Linked DNA regions of Alligator mississippiensis. The protein of the gene in region 2 interacts with the protein of the main gene of each other region in a pairwise test. Links are inferred from orthologs where the notes say so. Each region holds a gene or a part of one and is shown on either strand. Other genes may lie near its edges.

Region 1 (7,205 bases), on a different chromosome or scaffold from region 2:
CTTCACGAAGAACTTCCTCCTTGAATGGTGCAGCACTGGGAACCCCTGGATCTTTTCGGGGCTTTTTGTTTCCACGCTTCTTGGCTTCTTTCCTGAGTTTTCTCTTGTGTTCCCGTACCTGTAATCAAGAAAGAATATATATTGGAATTCAGTTTAATAGGAAAAGCTAAATGCCTACATATAAGTATGTGGCCAGAGAAAGATTTTTAATTGCAAAATCAACACGCATGTAGCTATAGCTAAATTAATGAATCCTAAGTATTACAAACTTAAAATTCAAAAGATCTACAGTATTACATCATCTGTGCCACTGCCCCTCCCAATGAAGATCTGTTCTTTACAATATACTTGAAGGCAATTTTCAAGCACCGTTCAGACTCCCATATCCACTTAAAATAACCTCTACTGCAATGATTCTCAGCCAGGGCGATGGGACACCCTGGAGTACTGCCAGATCCTCTGAGCATTCCCTCATGATAAGATAAACTAGGTAGATTAACTCAGGCTCAGGCTAATGCCGATCTAAGTAATTATCCCACCCCCATGTCCCAGCCCCTCTGCAAGGAGGTAAAGACTAGAGGTGCACTGATATATCAGTCGCATATTGGATCAGCACTGATAACAGAAAAAATAACATTATCAGCCTTCAGCTTTTTTTTGGCCCATAATACCACCAATAAATGCTGCGTGCATGTCAAGTACTGGGCCAGGAATGCAGCCCTGAAGCTTGGAGAGCAGCATCCTGTTGGTAGGTTGGGGGGGGGGGGGGGGGGAGAAATCAAGGCCCCCAGGGTGAGGGAGGGATGGGTCAGGTGCTGCCCACCCAGGGTGGCGGATGCAACCCCAGGGCGAGGCAGAGCCGTGGGTAGCTCATCTAGGGGGTGCAGAGCAGGGACTCCCCCCTGCCACTGTGCGCACCCCTAGGGGGAGGCATGAGGGGCATGTGCCCCCCGAGATTTGTGCAGGGGGTGAAGATGGGCTGCCCGCTGTGCACTAGGGTTCAGCATCTGCACCAGCCTCTTCCCCAAGGTGGAGGCTGGGCCAGGGCTCCACTTGGGGTAGGTGGGGGTGGGGTGGGCTCAGCTGTGCGGGGCAGGCAGCAGCAGTGCTGGGAAGGGTGGCTATGGGGAATTTGGGGATGGCCATAGTCCCCAAAGTCCACTCTCAGTGCTGCTACCTGTACCCCCACAGCTGAGCCCACCCCACCCCACCCCACCCCAGTGCAGCTCTGGCTCCAAGCCTGCAGTGGGCAGCCTGCCCTCGCCCTGCATACAAATCTGGGGCAGCACATGCCCCCATGCCTTTCCCAAGGGTGAGCACAGCGGCAGGAAGCCATCCCCCCCGCCCTCTGGAATGGCAGTGCGTGGCTCCACCACATGCCCCAGGGTTGCATTCACCACCCTGGATGGGGCAGCACCTGCCCCATCCCTCCCTCACCCTGGGAGCCTCAATTTCCTTCCCCACCCAGGCTTACCAGCAGGAGGCTGCTCTCTAAGCTGCTGGGCTGTATTCCTAGCCCCATGCATGCCATAAACACAGAATTTATCAGTGACTTTATCAGCCAAAAAAAATGCCATGCCAGCATTTCCCCCCCCACAGCATGCAGCCTATTGCTTGTGCTGGTGCAAGGTCTGAAACCCTCTGCTACTTAGAAGACAGCCCTATGTTAGAGCTCTTGATAACGCAGCACATTAGAAATACCTCAGATCTGGGGGTCCAGACCCCTGGAAGGAGTCTGGCAGCGCTGAGAGAGCAGGTTGAGCTCCATGGAGCTGGTGGAGCCACTCAAAGTGCAGCCTGGCAGCAGGAGGCAGGGAGATCCAGTGGCAGAGACGCTCTGAGCGTAGCCTGGCAGCAAGAGGCTCTGCAGCCCCACAGAGTTGAGCCTAGCAGCGGGAAGGAGGGGAGAGCCACTGGCCAGGGCTGCGCTCAGAACAAAGGCTGCGCTCAGAGCAGCTCCACCACTGGCTCTCCTGCTGCTGGGCTGAGCTTCGTGGGGCTTGCGGAGCTGCTCGGAGTACAGCCCTAGCTCTCCCCCACCTCCCGCCACTGGGCTGCTTTGAAACTTGAAACATTTTGGGTGCCCTCATTTCATTTCAAAGCCTGTTGTTTCATTTCGATTTCACTGTCCCAAGCTAAAAGGCGCCGAAACAGCTTCAAAATAAAACACCAGTTGAAATTTTGGACAGCCCTACTGAGCCCCACTGCCCTAGACAAACAGTGGAACCATGAACATGTGCGGTGTGAAAGAACTAGGAGCTGCACTACGGGGCCCCAGCTGGGGAACGTGTAGGTGAGTGCTGAACAGTGTACAGCCCTCCCCTGCAAATGCAACAAGTCTGTTCAGGACTTCGATGTAGCTGAACACAATGAGGCTCCACGTAGTGCTTTGCAGCCCAAAGCCCTCGGGAAGCCGGGCAGCGAAGACCTGGCCTGAGCTTTCCTGCTTGCCTTCCCCCTCCCGCCTGCCTATGCTGTGCTTGGGGCAGAAACTGGTCCCTTGAATCCGACCGCTCCCGCTTGGTGACCCACCTTCCTCTGGATCTTGTACCGCTTGTGGCAGGTCAGGCGCTTGCTGCCCTTCCGAAGCTCTGCAATCAGGACACGCCATTAACAGAGGGCAGACGAAGGCCGCCGCCTATCAGCACCCGATGATGTCGCGGGCCACGGGCGCCCGAGTGTGGCCGGGCCTCGGCCACAGGTCTTGGGCACGGAGTCCCGGCCCCACGTTGCTACAGCCTCCGATTGATCGCGACCGCCCGGCCTGGCCCGGCCCCCACTACCGCGCGCCCCAGTCCCGGCCCCGCCCGAACCTCCCACGGCCACGGCCCCCAGTCGCTGGCCCCTGCCACAGCCTCGCTCCCGCTCCCACTCCCGTTCCCGGGCCGCGCGGCCAGGCGGCGCCAGCGCCCCGCACTCACTAGGCCTCTTCATGGCTGCTGCCGCGCGCTCACCCCGCGTGCAGGCGGCGGAGCCGAACCTGGCGGCTCTGCCGTAAAGCGCACCGCCCGCCCCTTCCGCGTCCCGCCCCTAGGCGCTGCACGGGTTGTCGCGCTGGCGGGCTCGCTCGGCGGCCGGGCGGGCTTTACGGCAGCGGCAGGGTCGGTGGTGAGGGGCGACAGCGGCTGTGCCGGCAGGGCGGCAGCGGTGGGCGAGTGCGGCCGCAGTAGCGGGCGGCAGAGCGGAGCTGCCTGGGTGGGTGAGGGAGTGAGCGGTGAGGTGGTGCGCCGAGGCGGGGCGGGACGGGGCGGGGCGGGGCGAGGCTGGGCCCGGTAGCCGGGAGGCCTCTGCTTCCCTTTGTGTGGCCGCCCTGCCCGCTCGTGGCGGCGGCGGTGCCCGCCCTCGCGCGGCGACCCCCCGCCCCGCGCCACGGGACTGCCGAGGGCCCCCCGCTGCCGGCCGCGCCGGGCTGGCCCCGTGTCTTGAGGGGCGATTCCCCCGCGGGAGACGCGTTGCCGCAGTGCTTCCACGAGGCTCCTGCTCCGGCCGGGGCGGTGGCGGGGGCTGTCAGCGCAGGGAGAAGCCCCGCCGCCGCCGGGAGCCTCGATGCCCGGTGCTGTCACGCGGTTTGCTGTCGGTGGCCCCGGGATGGGCAGGCGGGCTCTGCTGCCGCTAGCGCAGGTGACAGCCGGGGGCTGGGAAGGGACCGGCCGCGACGCCTTGACGTCTCCGGCGATGTGAGGGGTCCGGTGCACTCTGGCGATGCGCGGGGTCGGGGCGGGCAGCAGGGTAGAGCGCACTTGCCACGGCTGTGCAAGGCCCCGAAGACGTGCGTGGCCCCAGGGAAGCGGCGCTTCCCTTCAAAGTTTGTTCCGTCTTGTCACAGTAGTGCCGCTGCTGCCGGAACCTGCCACGGGAGCAACAGAGTCCTGCAGCGTTTGGTAGGAGAAGAATTAAACTGGGACAAGCCTCTGTTTTGTGTACTTGTTATCTGTCTTGTACACTTCTTTCTCCAAGGCTGAGGAGACAACTGTGCGGCCTAGCTAACTTCTTTCCTGCTTTATCCTCTGAAACAACCCTCTGACATGCTTTCCCAGGTTACAACACAGTTTTAGTCTTGTCAGTAATGCTGCAGGACAGTATATGGTACATTCTCTCCCCATCATTTTGTTGTGTTTGTCAACTATCTGTTGAATGGTTTTATAGAAATCCAGGGAACTTTCAAAAATAGTTTTTGTGGCATCTATATACATGCTTTGATTAGCTACTCTGAAGGGTACGTAAAAATTTAGACTTTTAAAAAACACTTTTCAGCTCCTTTTAAAAATATTTTAAAGATGTGTAGAAACAGTATTCTTACATGGGGATTACTTTTGATAATAGATGTGTGGGACCTTAATGGAGTACATCAGAATATTACATCCTCAGATATTGTTAGAAGAAATTATGTTTTAGTATTAGGAAGAGAAATTTTCTTCAGTGACTGCCTGTAGGTGGGGTCTTCAGGTGCCTAACCTTTTAAAGAAGTTTAAAAAAATATAATGGCTAGGATTTACTAGTATTGTATAAGTGGTGTGGAGATGCTGTACTTGAATCCCATCAGATTATTTTATAGTCCTCAAGATCCTTTGCTTCATATAAGGACCAATTTTCTAGTGGAGATACACTAGTACTTGGTGCATTATTCAAGGATACATGAAATATTTTGATTCCAAATGATAAAGTACTACATACTAGATGAGTAAAAATCATTTTATTCTTTTTGGTTCTTTGAATACAGTTTTTTTAGAAGAACAGTTTTAGAACAGGTATTCACTGCTGACAAAACTGTATAGATTAATATTTTCCATGCTGGACTTGATACACTTTTGATTTTAGTAGATCTGTGTTTAATCAAGCTCATTATTTCATGGTATGATATGTTGAAAATCTGTCATGCAATAGGGATATAGCTGAAGGTTTTTGAACGGGGGTTAAATTAAGGCTTAATAAAGTAGAATCAGCAATTTCCGGAGAGTCTTGATGGTGTGGGTCATTGCTACAAGTCTGCCTAGTAACTTAGGGTTGTAAGACTTTTTTTTTCTTCTTTTTACTGTCACTGTACTACTTTTTTATAGTACCATCAACTTACAGTTTCCACTTACTCCCTCTTACACTTAGGCTACTAGATGAAGTGATACTTGCATTACTCGGGCTAGTGAATGGCTCACATTATAGTAGCATTTAAACATTTTAGTTAAAAGTTCCAGAAATGTATATGCTTTGCGTATGCAGAAAACCTTTAGTTTTTGATAACCCCCTCCAAATTTATGTTTCCTCTTTTCTCCAGCCTTTGTGATGGCTTTTCTCAACTGTTATTCTTAAATTCTTTTTCTCTCTACTCTCTCCTTTTAACCTTTCCCCTCTTCTGTTTTTTCTCTCATTTTTCTTCTCTTTCAGCTTTGGCTATTAATGCAATTGCTGATTTGACATTTTCAAAGACTTGCCATCTCTTAGTACTTTAACCTGACCATTGGACACAATGAGGAGACTGGCTTTTCGAGGTGCTGGTTGTACTCTGGTAAATCTGGTAAATTATTGATCATATACACACCCTTCTTCCTTTCCCCTGCCTGGCCTTTTATTTTTCTTTATCTTAGCCTTAGTGAATCCAACCTCATGCTCATTCATCTTGTTTGTTTACTTGTAATGAATTGTTCACTGGAATAAACATGAACATAGCTATGTCACTACTTCACCTTATATAAACTGTAGATTATATAACAGAAAAATACATTGTTAAAGTGAAAAGAGCATGGGTGACACTGGAAATATTTTTTTTGTAATAGTGACACCTTGCCATTAACATTTTGGCAGGATCCAGCAATATGTTTCATAGTAAACTCAGTAGTTGCTGGATGCCTAATAATTTCAGTCAATAGTGATGTTAATAAATTCAGACCAGGGACAAAAAGAGAAGACTCCTTGAGTGATCCAATTTGCACTCAGTCCTAATTTTCAAGTGAGAATGATGTAGCTTGAGAATGCAACCAAATTTACCTGTATTGTGGCCCAAATCCTTTGTTTGTCTGTTTGTTTTTGTGATTCTGGGACTAGATATTACATAGCAGTTGTGATTTTACTCTTAGTTGCATTAACTGTATGTTTTGGTTTTTAGCTTATCAGAGTTGTAAAACTATCTCTGAACTTCTCATGTATCATGACAATACATCTTATCATTATTTTGGAATGAGGAGTCATAAGCTTTTATAGTTTAAAAAAACATCCTAGTAACTGCTAGATAATTGCAGCACTTTGTGCAAGTCCCCAGCCCTGCAGGGATGGGTAGCAGTATATAATTCAAAATGTATTTGATTCATAGAATCATAGAAAATTAGGGTTAGAAGGGACTTCATCTAGTCCAGCCCCCTGTTCAAAGCAGGACCATCCCCAACTAGATCATCCTAGCCAAAGCTTTGTCTAATCGGGTTTATAAAACTTCTGTAACCTGGGAGGTACACACTTCCAAGGTTGGAGATTCTACCACCTCTCTGATAACCTGTTCCAGTGTTTTACTAGAACACTAGTGAGAGAAATTTTCCTAATATCTAACCTAAACTTCCCTTGCTGGAACTTGAGACCGTTGCTCCTTGTTCTATCATTGACCACCAGTGAAAACAGCCTAGCTCCACCCTCTTTCAAATACCTCTTCAGGTAGTTGAAGGCTGCTATTAAATCCTCTCTCAGTCTTCTCTTCACTAGACTAAATAAGCCCTGTTCCCTCAGTCTTTCCTCATAAGTCATGATCCCCCAGCCTCCCTCACCATTTTTGTTACCCTCTGCTGATCTTTCTCCGATTTGTCCACATCCTTTCTGTAGTGGAGTACCCAAAACTGTACTTGGTACTCCAGATGTGGCCTCACCAGTGCTGAATAGAGGGAAATAATAACTTTCCTTGACCTGTGTGCAACAGTGCTATTTTATAGACTTAAACCACTAATGCAACTCTGAAAGTTTACTTAATAATAATCTCATTAGGTAACAATGCATAAGTAAATTGTTGCAAATGTTCCTGACTCTATATACCCTTAACTGATAGTCAGTAGTTAGCTGTCACCAGAAAACTTGTGTACAATGCCTTAAGTTTAAGAACATCTTTCTTCATTATAGAAGAAGTTGGATTCCATGGGTTCCAAGAGGCGAAGGGCTACTTCTCCTTCCAGCAGTGTCAGTGGAGGAGATTTTGATGATGGTCACCACTCAACAAATACACCAGGCCCGAGCAG
Region 2 (7,269 bases):
ACGTGCCCGGGCTCAGCAGCCAGGAAAACATGCGGGGACTCTACGGGGACATGCAGGGACACCCCCCTGCTCCCTCTCCCCTGGGGCAGCCCAAGCCCAACCAGCAGGGCTCCCTCCCTCCCCCGGGCCTGCAACTCACGACCCCCAGCGCAATGCCTGCGGGCGCAGGGGGATGTGGGAGCCGTGCCAGCTTTCCGCCCGAACAGCCACAGCAGCAGTGGCAGCAGCATCTCCTGCGGACCCGGCCACAGCATCCCTCCAAGCCGGCATCCGCGCCCCGTGAAGCCGCCTCCTGCACAGCAACCTGCTCCAGCCCGCGCAGCCAGCGGGGACCAGCACAGGGCAGGGCTGGCATGCAAATGAGGAAGGGAGGGGAGGGGCTAGGAAGGGACACCGTGAAATGAGGGGGATGGGGAAGAGCCACACCACATCAGCAACGTCTAGCTGAAGTGGGGCATGTGGGAACCCAGTCCCTTCCCCAGCCCGTCAGTAGCCATTAGGAAGCTGCTGAGAGGCTGGGCGAGGGACAAGGGGTAGAAACAAAAGTAAACAGTGTTTACTTTCATTTCCTGTCGAAGCACCTCTGGCTTCAGAAAATGGCTTGGCGGGCTGCATGGCAGCCCACAGGCCATATGTTGGACAAACCTGTCATAGATCAAGTAAATTTGTTGGGAGATGGATGCTATTTTAGGAACAAGGATATACATAATGCAGATAGTTACAAAAAAGCAAGCAGAAGCTAGATACCAGAGGAAAACTATCCTGCCTTTACCTGTATGTAACAGTACCTGCATGGATGTGTTGACAAATGAAAACACATGCATTTCACCTCATTTGCTCTCTAGAGTAGATCTGTGTATTTCAGCTGGTGGAACAGCTAGCCAGTACCAGACAAGATCTGTATCCAGGGATACTTGGCACATGGCTTCACTTGTATCCGTTACAAGATCTAATTAAAGCTATTATTTGTTTTCTGGATGACCAAGCTGTATACATTTTACGTGGGGGTATTGTAGATAGATGTGCGCATTAAACACAACAACTATATATGTAATGCAAGTCACTAGAGGTACATCAGGGGGGCTGGGCTACACCGTGCATGGGAGGAGGCTGCAGCCACCCCAAATTTCACCATAGCCCTCCCCAATGCCCATCAGTTACTGGTACTGGCCCCCAAAATCAATATCAGTGCACCCCCACAAGTTACATATAACATGCAATACAGAGAACCTCCATTTTCCTGTTGAGAGCTGAAAAGCAAACTGGTAGCCACGAACTGATAACTGTAAATTTTGAATAAGCTATTTGACTGACCTATGTAAACCCAGGAACAACATGAAGGACCTAAAAAGCCTTTTTTGCCACTTTGTTTATTCATTGGACTCAGAAACTTTTATTACAAAGCCAGCAAAATATCTGTTGGCACATTACCCAGCCACTTTTAAACACCATTTTCCCCCACCACCTGCATCCCCTACACCAATCTAGATCCTCTGGCACAAATTGACCTTTTACTCTAGCAAATATAGAACTTTTACTAGCTTGCAACTTGCTCCCTTTTCTTCCTTTTTAATGTCAACCTTCCCTTCTGATATTTTTCTGAATATAGAAAAAAGTGACAGACCCGAATGATGGTCACTTGTTAAATGCATTAACTTTTTTCTCTAGGACCTCTCTCCTTGCCACTGGATGACTGCTACAAGTTTTCTACTTGCCTCTCTCTCTCACCATTCATTTCCCAGCCACCTGAGGTACTTATTTCTTTGCTTTTTTACCGTTTTAGCCATGTCCCCATCAACACTTATCTATTCACTGCAATCCAAATTCCAGTTTTCTAAGTAGACAGGAAGTGACCTGCCCTATCCCTCTTTCTTCATCTTCTATGCTAAAAAATTTCAGGTGCAGGAGTGGGCATTAAAGGGCACCTGATGCCCAAGCTTACACAACAGCTCTCCCAAATGTATATTTGGGTCCAGAAAAAAGCATCACAGAAAAGCCTTACTCCTACAGCTCTTGCACCATCGTGGCTATAACAGTGTTCCCATTTCAGTATTTCCCCGATTTCCAACAACCATCCACTGAAATGAGGCCACTGACCCCAAAAAGCCCCAATGAAGACCTAATTCTGGGCAACCAACTGGGGCAAACCCAAGCTTGTGAAGCAGCCAGTGCAAACTTGTTCACATCTGGGCACCCATCAGCAAAGTCCAGCAACAAGCTATGGAGAATTGTTGCTGGCTTCAAGAACTGGGCTGTGGTCCCCAGATCCTGCAGCAAAAACCCTCCCCTCAGGCCCTCCCGCCCAGCCCAGCCCTACCGTCCTCAGCGACAGCTGGTGTTCGTTCTCTTCGTCGTTCACTTTGAAGTGGAAGTCCTTGTCCGCCTTCAGCTCGCAGCCTGGGGGTAGGAGAGAAGAAGACGTCACAAGCTCGTCTGGGACCACGAGCTCACCCCTTCCCCGCGCGGGGCTCGAGACCCGGCCCGGCCCGGCCCAGCCCAGCGGCGCCGCCTCTGCAGGCCACGCGCTTCGCGGGGCTTTCCCGCGCCAAAGAACCGCCCGCAGCCGCGGTAGCACCACGGCCCCCGTCCCCGGAGCCTGCGGCGATGCCAGCCCCGCCTGCCGCCGCCACGTGCGCTCGGGCAGGAGCCGCCGCCCTCGCGGCACAAAGCGCGGCCGGGCCCGGCAGGGGCTGCAGGCCCCGGCGCCGCCACGTGCTCGCGGCCGCCACGTGCGGGGGGGAGGGGGCGGCGCCTGCCGCACGAGCCCGCCGCGCCCGCCCCGCCCCCGGCCCAGCCGCGCGGATGCAGCCGCCGCCGGGCCCGACCGCGCGGGAAGCAGCCGCAGGGCCCATCGGCCCGGCCCGCCCGCGCGTTACCGAAGAGGAAGGTCTGCGGGCGCAGCGGGCCCATGCTCTCCACGTCCATGGCGCTGTCCTCCATCTTTTCGGCGGCGGCAACGGCGGCGGCGCTGCGCCCCGGACGGAATCGCACTGAGGGGGGAAGCTTGCGCGCCGCCCCGCACTTATAGCCCGGAGGTCTCGCGAGAGCGGCGCCGGGCCCCGCCCCCGCGCGACCCTCGGCGCAGGCGCCTGGCACTTCCTGCCCCCTGTCCTCCCGCCGCCAGGCCCCCGCCGGTGGCTACGTGCATCAGCCCCGCGCTCGGGCGGCCCCGGGGCGTCCGCGCGGCCTCTCCCGGGGCGGGGGCTCCCGGGACTAAGCCCGGCCTGCGTCTACGTCGCGGCCACCGGAACCCGAGACACAGGGAGCCCCGTAGAAAGGCAGCGCAGGGCGCACGTGCCGCAGCTGCCTTCCAGCTGCCCTTTTTTTTTTTAATTATTCTGAGACGATTCTCACGGCGCCACGCTCGGCCCCACCCACACCGCTGCGAGAGAAAATCGGTCTGGCACCCTGGCTTGTGCCCTGGGAGAAGAGGGGGGTTAGGACATGGGTAGGTAAGCCCCAGCACGACGCACACAGCCACGCTGCTCGGCCCACGCACCTGGGGCACAGGCAGGGGAGCTGCGAGGGCCCCGGCCCCTTGCCCACCCTCTGCCTCAAGGCCTCGAGCACCCGCTGCCAGCAACAAGCTGGGCCGGGGCTCTGCAGACCCCAGCACATCTGCTTGCAGCTTGTCCACTGCCTGCTGCAAGCAGCCCCGTGGCAGAGGCCTGCCCAGAGCCTGGGACTAGCTTGGCAGGCAGCCGGGAGGCTGCACACAGCTGCACTGGCATCCAGAGAGACCTGGCCCAGTCTGCACATGCAGTTTGGGGCAGACAGCAGGGAAGATGTCAGGGCTGAGCTGCCACAACAAAGATTGGGCCCGCTGCAGCTCCCCGGCTGTCCATCCCTGCTTGCCAACATCTTACAGGTTGCTGGTGTCTTTGGCACTCTGCCCAAAAATGTTGCCAACCTCTAGTTTAGGAGATGATGTTAAAAGGCAGAGGGGGGTTACGAAAAGGATACATGGGGATGAGTGATAGGGAAGGAGCAAGCTTTTGGAAGTCATAGGCCAGAGGGAGTAGTACCTGAGGGGACATTGGAGTAGGGAGTGTTGTAACACTAGTACCTGGTAGCCACATGGGACTTCTGGCCCTAAGATAAAATACTTTCCCAGTCTCCCCTACATATTATCTACAGGGCTGTCCATGGGGAGTGGTTAGCCCCACTCATTTCAGCACACAGCAGAGTGAGAGGAGGCTGGCACTTGAAGGGGTCTGCACCCTTTGCTCTATATGAACCAGCATTTGGATAAATCATGCTACTCTGGTGTGGTTCAGGTCTCATCCATGCCTCCCCAGTGAGCCGACATCTGAAAAACACTTCTGAGGAGGAAGCTGAAAGCATGAGGAAGACAAACATTTTTGCTAAACTTAGGTTCTGAAGCACTCACTGGAGGGAGATGGGTGAAAACACCCACTGAGATGAATGGAGCACTTCACACATTTCACAACTGTTGTTTCAACCTGTATTCATATGCATGGATTTAGTCAGTACAGAACATCCCTTTTTGTGAAGTGGCCCATTTAGCTCAATGCGAGCATCTCTGCTCTGTATGCAAGTTCTGCTCAAGTGTCAACTCAGCCCACTCTTATTTGCTACTACTTGGAGATTTTGCCTGCCTTAAAGGCATAGTTTCTCAGCCTGTGGTACATGTACCTCTGGGGATACACAAGGCACAGGCAGGGGGTACACAGGCACCAAAACCCCTGTAGTAAGGGGGCGCCACCACTCCCTCCGCTGCCACTGGGTTCGCGTCCAGCTGCTTGCTGCCCCCACCTCCCCAAGCCGGCCACAGGCACACACATACCCACGCACTCCCCACTGACTCAGCCACAGGCAGGTAAGTTTCTTTATCCTGTCTGGGCTTGGGGGGGGGGCAAACCCACACAATGCAGGGGGGAGTACAGTAGGGGCAAGGCACTTCCCCACTCTCCTGCACTGTGGGAACTGCCCCATGACCTGGCCTGCCTGGGGCCCAGTTCACTCTGCGCAGGAGGGAGCAGGCTGCCACTGTAGGCTGGGGCTAGTGGCGGCACCGGGCTCTTCCCGGCACTCAGGGCGGGCTGCGGTGATGGGGTGGCAGCAGCCCCCCTCCCAAAATTCACTGTAGCCCTCCCCAAACTGCCCTCCAGTGTCATCACTGAACACCGGGAAAGCCTAGTGCCACCATCGACTTCAGCCTGTAGCCAGCCTGGGCTCGGCAGCTGCAGCAAGCAGCTGCACCGGGCTCTGCACCTCAGAGCAGACAGCAGGGGAGGGTTGCACTGCCTCAGACCCTATCCCCAAGTCTCTGTTCTGAGGCACACACACAGTCACTGGAATGGAGCAGATGCCAGGGCTGCAGAGCCCGGTGCAGCTGTTTGCAGCCTGCCCACTGCGGCTGCCCAGAGCCCAGGCTGGCTACAGGCAGGGGTCAGGGGTGGCACTGAGCTTTTCTCTGCGCTGCCTCAGGGCCCCCCCACCGGCTGCTCTGCTCCAAGGCACACAATGGTGAAGCCCAGAGCAGCTCTTTGCAGCCTCCTGGCTGCAGCCAGCCCAGGCTCAGGGTAGCTGCTGCCAGCCACAGAGCCCAGGGTGCTTGCAACAGGACTTGCAGCCTCCCAGCTGCCTGTTTGGAACAGCCTGGGCTCCATGGCTGGCAGCAGCTGCCTCCTTGTCAGTCTCTCACCCTCTTTTCCTCTCAGAAGTATGGCAAAAAATTTGGTGTGCCGCACATTGTGTGGCGCTTTAAATTCCCTAGTAATAATTTGGTGTGTCGCACTTTGCGTGGCACTGGGCTCAGCCCTCCTAGCTTTGGCCAACATCACCTCTAGCCCAGGTACATACTTAAGTTGTGCAACCCTGGTGTAAAAGGTGGCAACCCTACCCACACCAGATCAGACATCTGTCATATCACAGCCCTTCTTCCAACATATGGCACACATTAGTCTGTAAATATAAAATCCCCTGGAAAATTGAGTGTTGGAATACTTATTTAAGAACTTTCAGAAGTTAAGGGGTAGTTGCTACTCAAAAGGTTGAGAAACACTGCCTTAAGGAACTGAAAGTTAGCCTACTCCACAGAAAGAACACTACATCTGTTAAGATTTACCCTAATGTACATAAACCCACTTAGCCTAACGTGCATAATGCTACCCAACATTATACTCTCGCTTTTCTGTCATTAAATCGTACTCCTACCTAACTTCTGATGATCACCTGGACAAAACAAACTTGTGCCTTTTTACCAACACAACCTGCACAGTGCAATGCTGGAGTGAGGTATACTGGAACTTTCAGAAAGCCTTCTGGATACTTGACTACTAAACAAATCCCCCCCCAGCTCTTATCTAGTCTAAACAATCCTAGTTTTTTCAGCCTTTTCTCATAAGTCATGTTTTTCAGGCCTCTAATAATTTTTGTTGCTCTCTGCTGGACTTTCCAATCTGTCCACTTCTGTCTTGGAAGTGTGGGACCAAGAACTGGACACAATATGCCAGATGAAGCCTCACCAGTGCTGAATGTAGTGGAACAATCTCTTCCCTGAATTTGCAAGAAACACTCCTGTCAATACAACCCAGTATATTGTTGGCTTTTTTGCAGAGAGATCACATTCATTCACAATTTACGGTTTATTGCAACTCCCACCCCCAAGGTCCTTCTCCCATATATTCCCCAAGTCCATATTTGTTCATGTAATTATTCCACCACACATGCAAGACTTTAAATTGAATTTTGTTTAATTAATCATGGACCACTTCTATTTATCCTGATCATTCTGAACCCTAGCTCTACCATCCAGTGCATCTGCAGCTCCACCCAACTTGGTTTCATCTGCAAAATTTGCTAAACTTGCACTCAGTCCCATTCTCCAAATTGAGAATTTCCTTTTTATTGCTTTTTACATTCCTTGCCTGTTGCATCTCATTAATATATTTCCCTAAAAAGGTAGCATCCTGGGAATAGGAGGTACTCATCTTCCCCTCTGGCTTCTTGGTTCCACAAGTGAGATTTAAGAAAAAGTACAAGAAGTGTAATTTAATCTCCCCACTCCTTTCTTACCAGTTTTGATCAACAGTAAAATAACTGACAACAGCCACATTTGCATGACATTTCATCATTGGCATCCACATTAACACCCTGCCAAGATGAATGAATATAGGTTGTTCACAACTCTTAGAACTAAGTTTTTTAAGCTCACATAGCTACATCACAAAATCTAAACCAGATATTAATCTAAGGGCTAATCTAAACCAAAAGGTACCACCAGGGTAGCTACCTTGGCAGTCA

What was found. The genes of interacting proteins can lie anywhere in the genome.
Region 1: the proteins of NPM1 (region 2) and GNL3 interact in a two-hybrid assay, tested with the Homo sapiens proteins (2 studies listed by BioGRID, with this or other methods). The link is inferred for Alligator mississippiensis from reciprocal best matches to the Homo sapiens genes NPM1 and GNL3.

The regions. Positions count from the first base shown.
Region 1 is NC_081835.1:38,676,467-38,683,671, forward strand, and holds the start of GNL3 (guanine nucleotide-binding protein-like 3), read right to left. Parts: upstream 3,013-7,205; 5' UTR 2,935-3,012; coding exon 2,922-2,934; intron 2,592-2,921; coding exon 2,533-2,591; intron 119-2,532; coding exon 1-118. Other genes in the region: PBRM1 (protein polybromo-1), read left to right, coding at 3,547-3,621, 7,090-7,205. UniProt on the Homo sapiens protein: May be required to maintain the proliferative capacity of stem cells. Stabilizes MDM2 by preventing its ubiquitination, and hence proteasomal degradation.
Region 2 is NC_081832.1:47,798,267-47,805,535, forward strand, and holds the start of NPM1 (nucleophosmin), read right to left. Parts: upstream 3,001-7,269; 5' UTR 2,941-3,000; coding exon 2,877-2,940; intron 2,398-2,876; coding exon 2,318-2,397; intron 1-2,317. UniProt on the Homo sapiens protein: Involved in diverse cellular processes such as ribosome biogenesis, centrosome duplication, protein chaperoning, histone assembly, cell proliferation, and regulation of tumor suppressors p53/TP53 and ARF.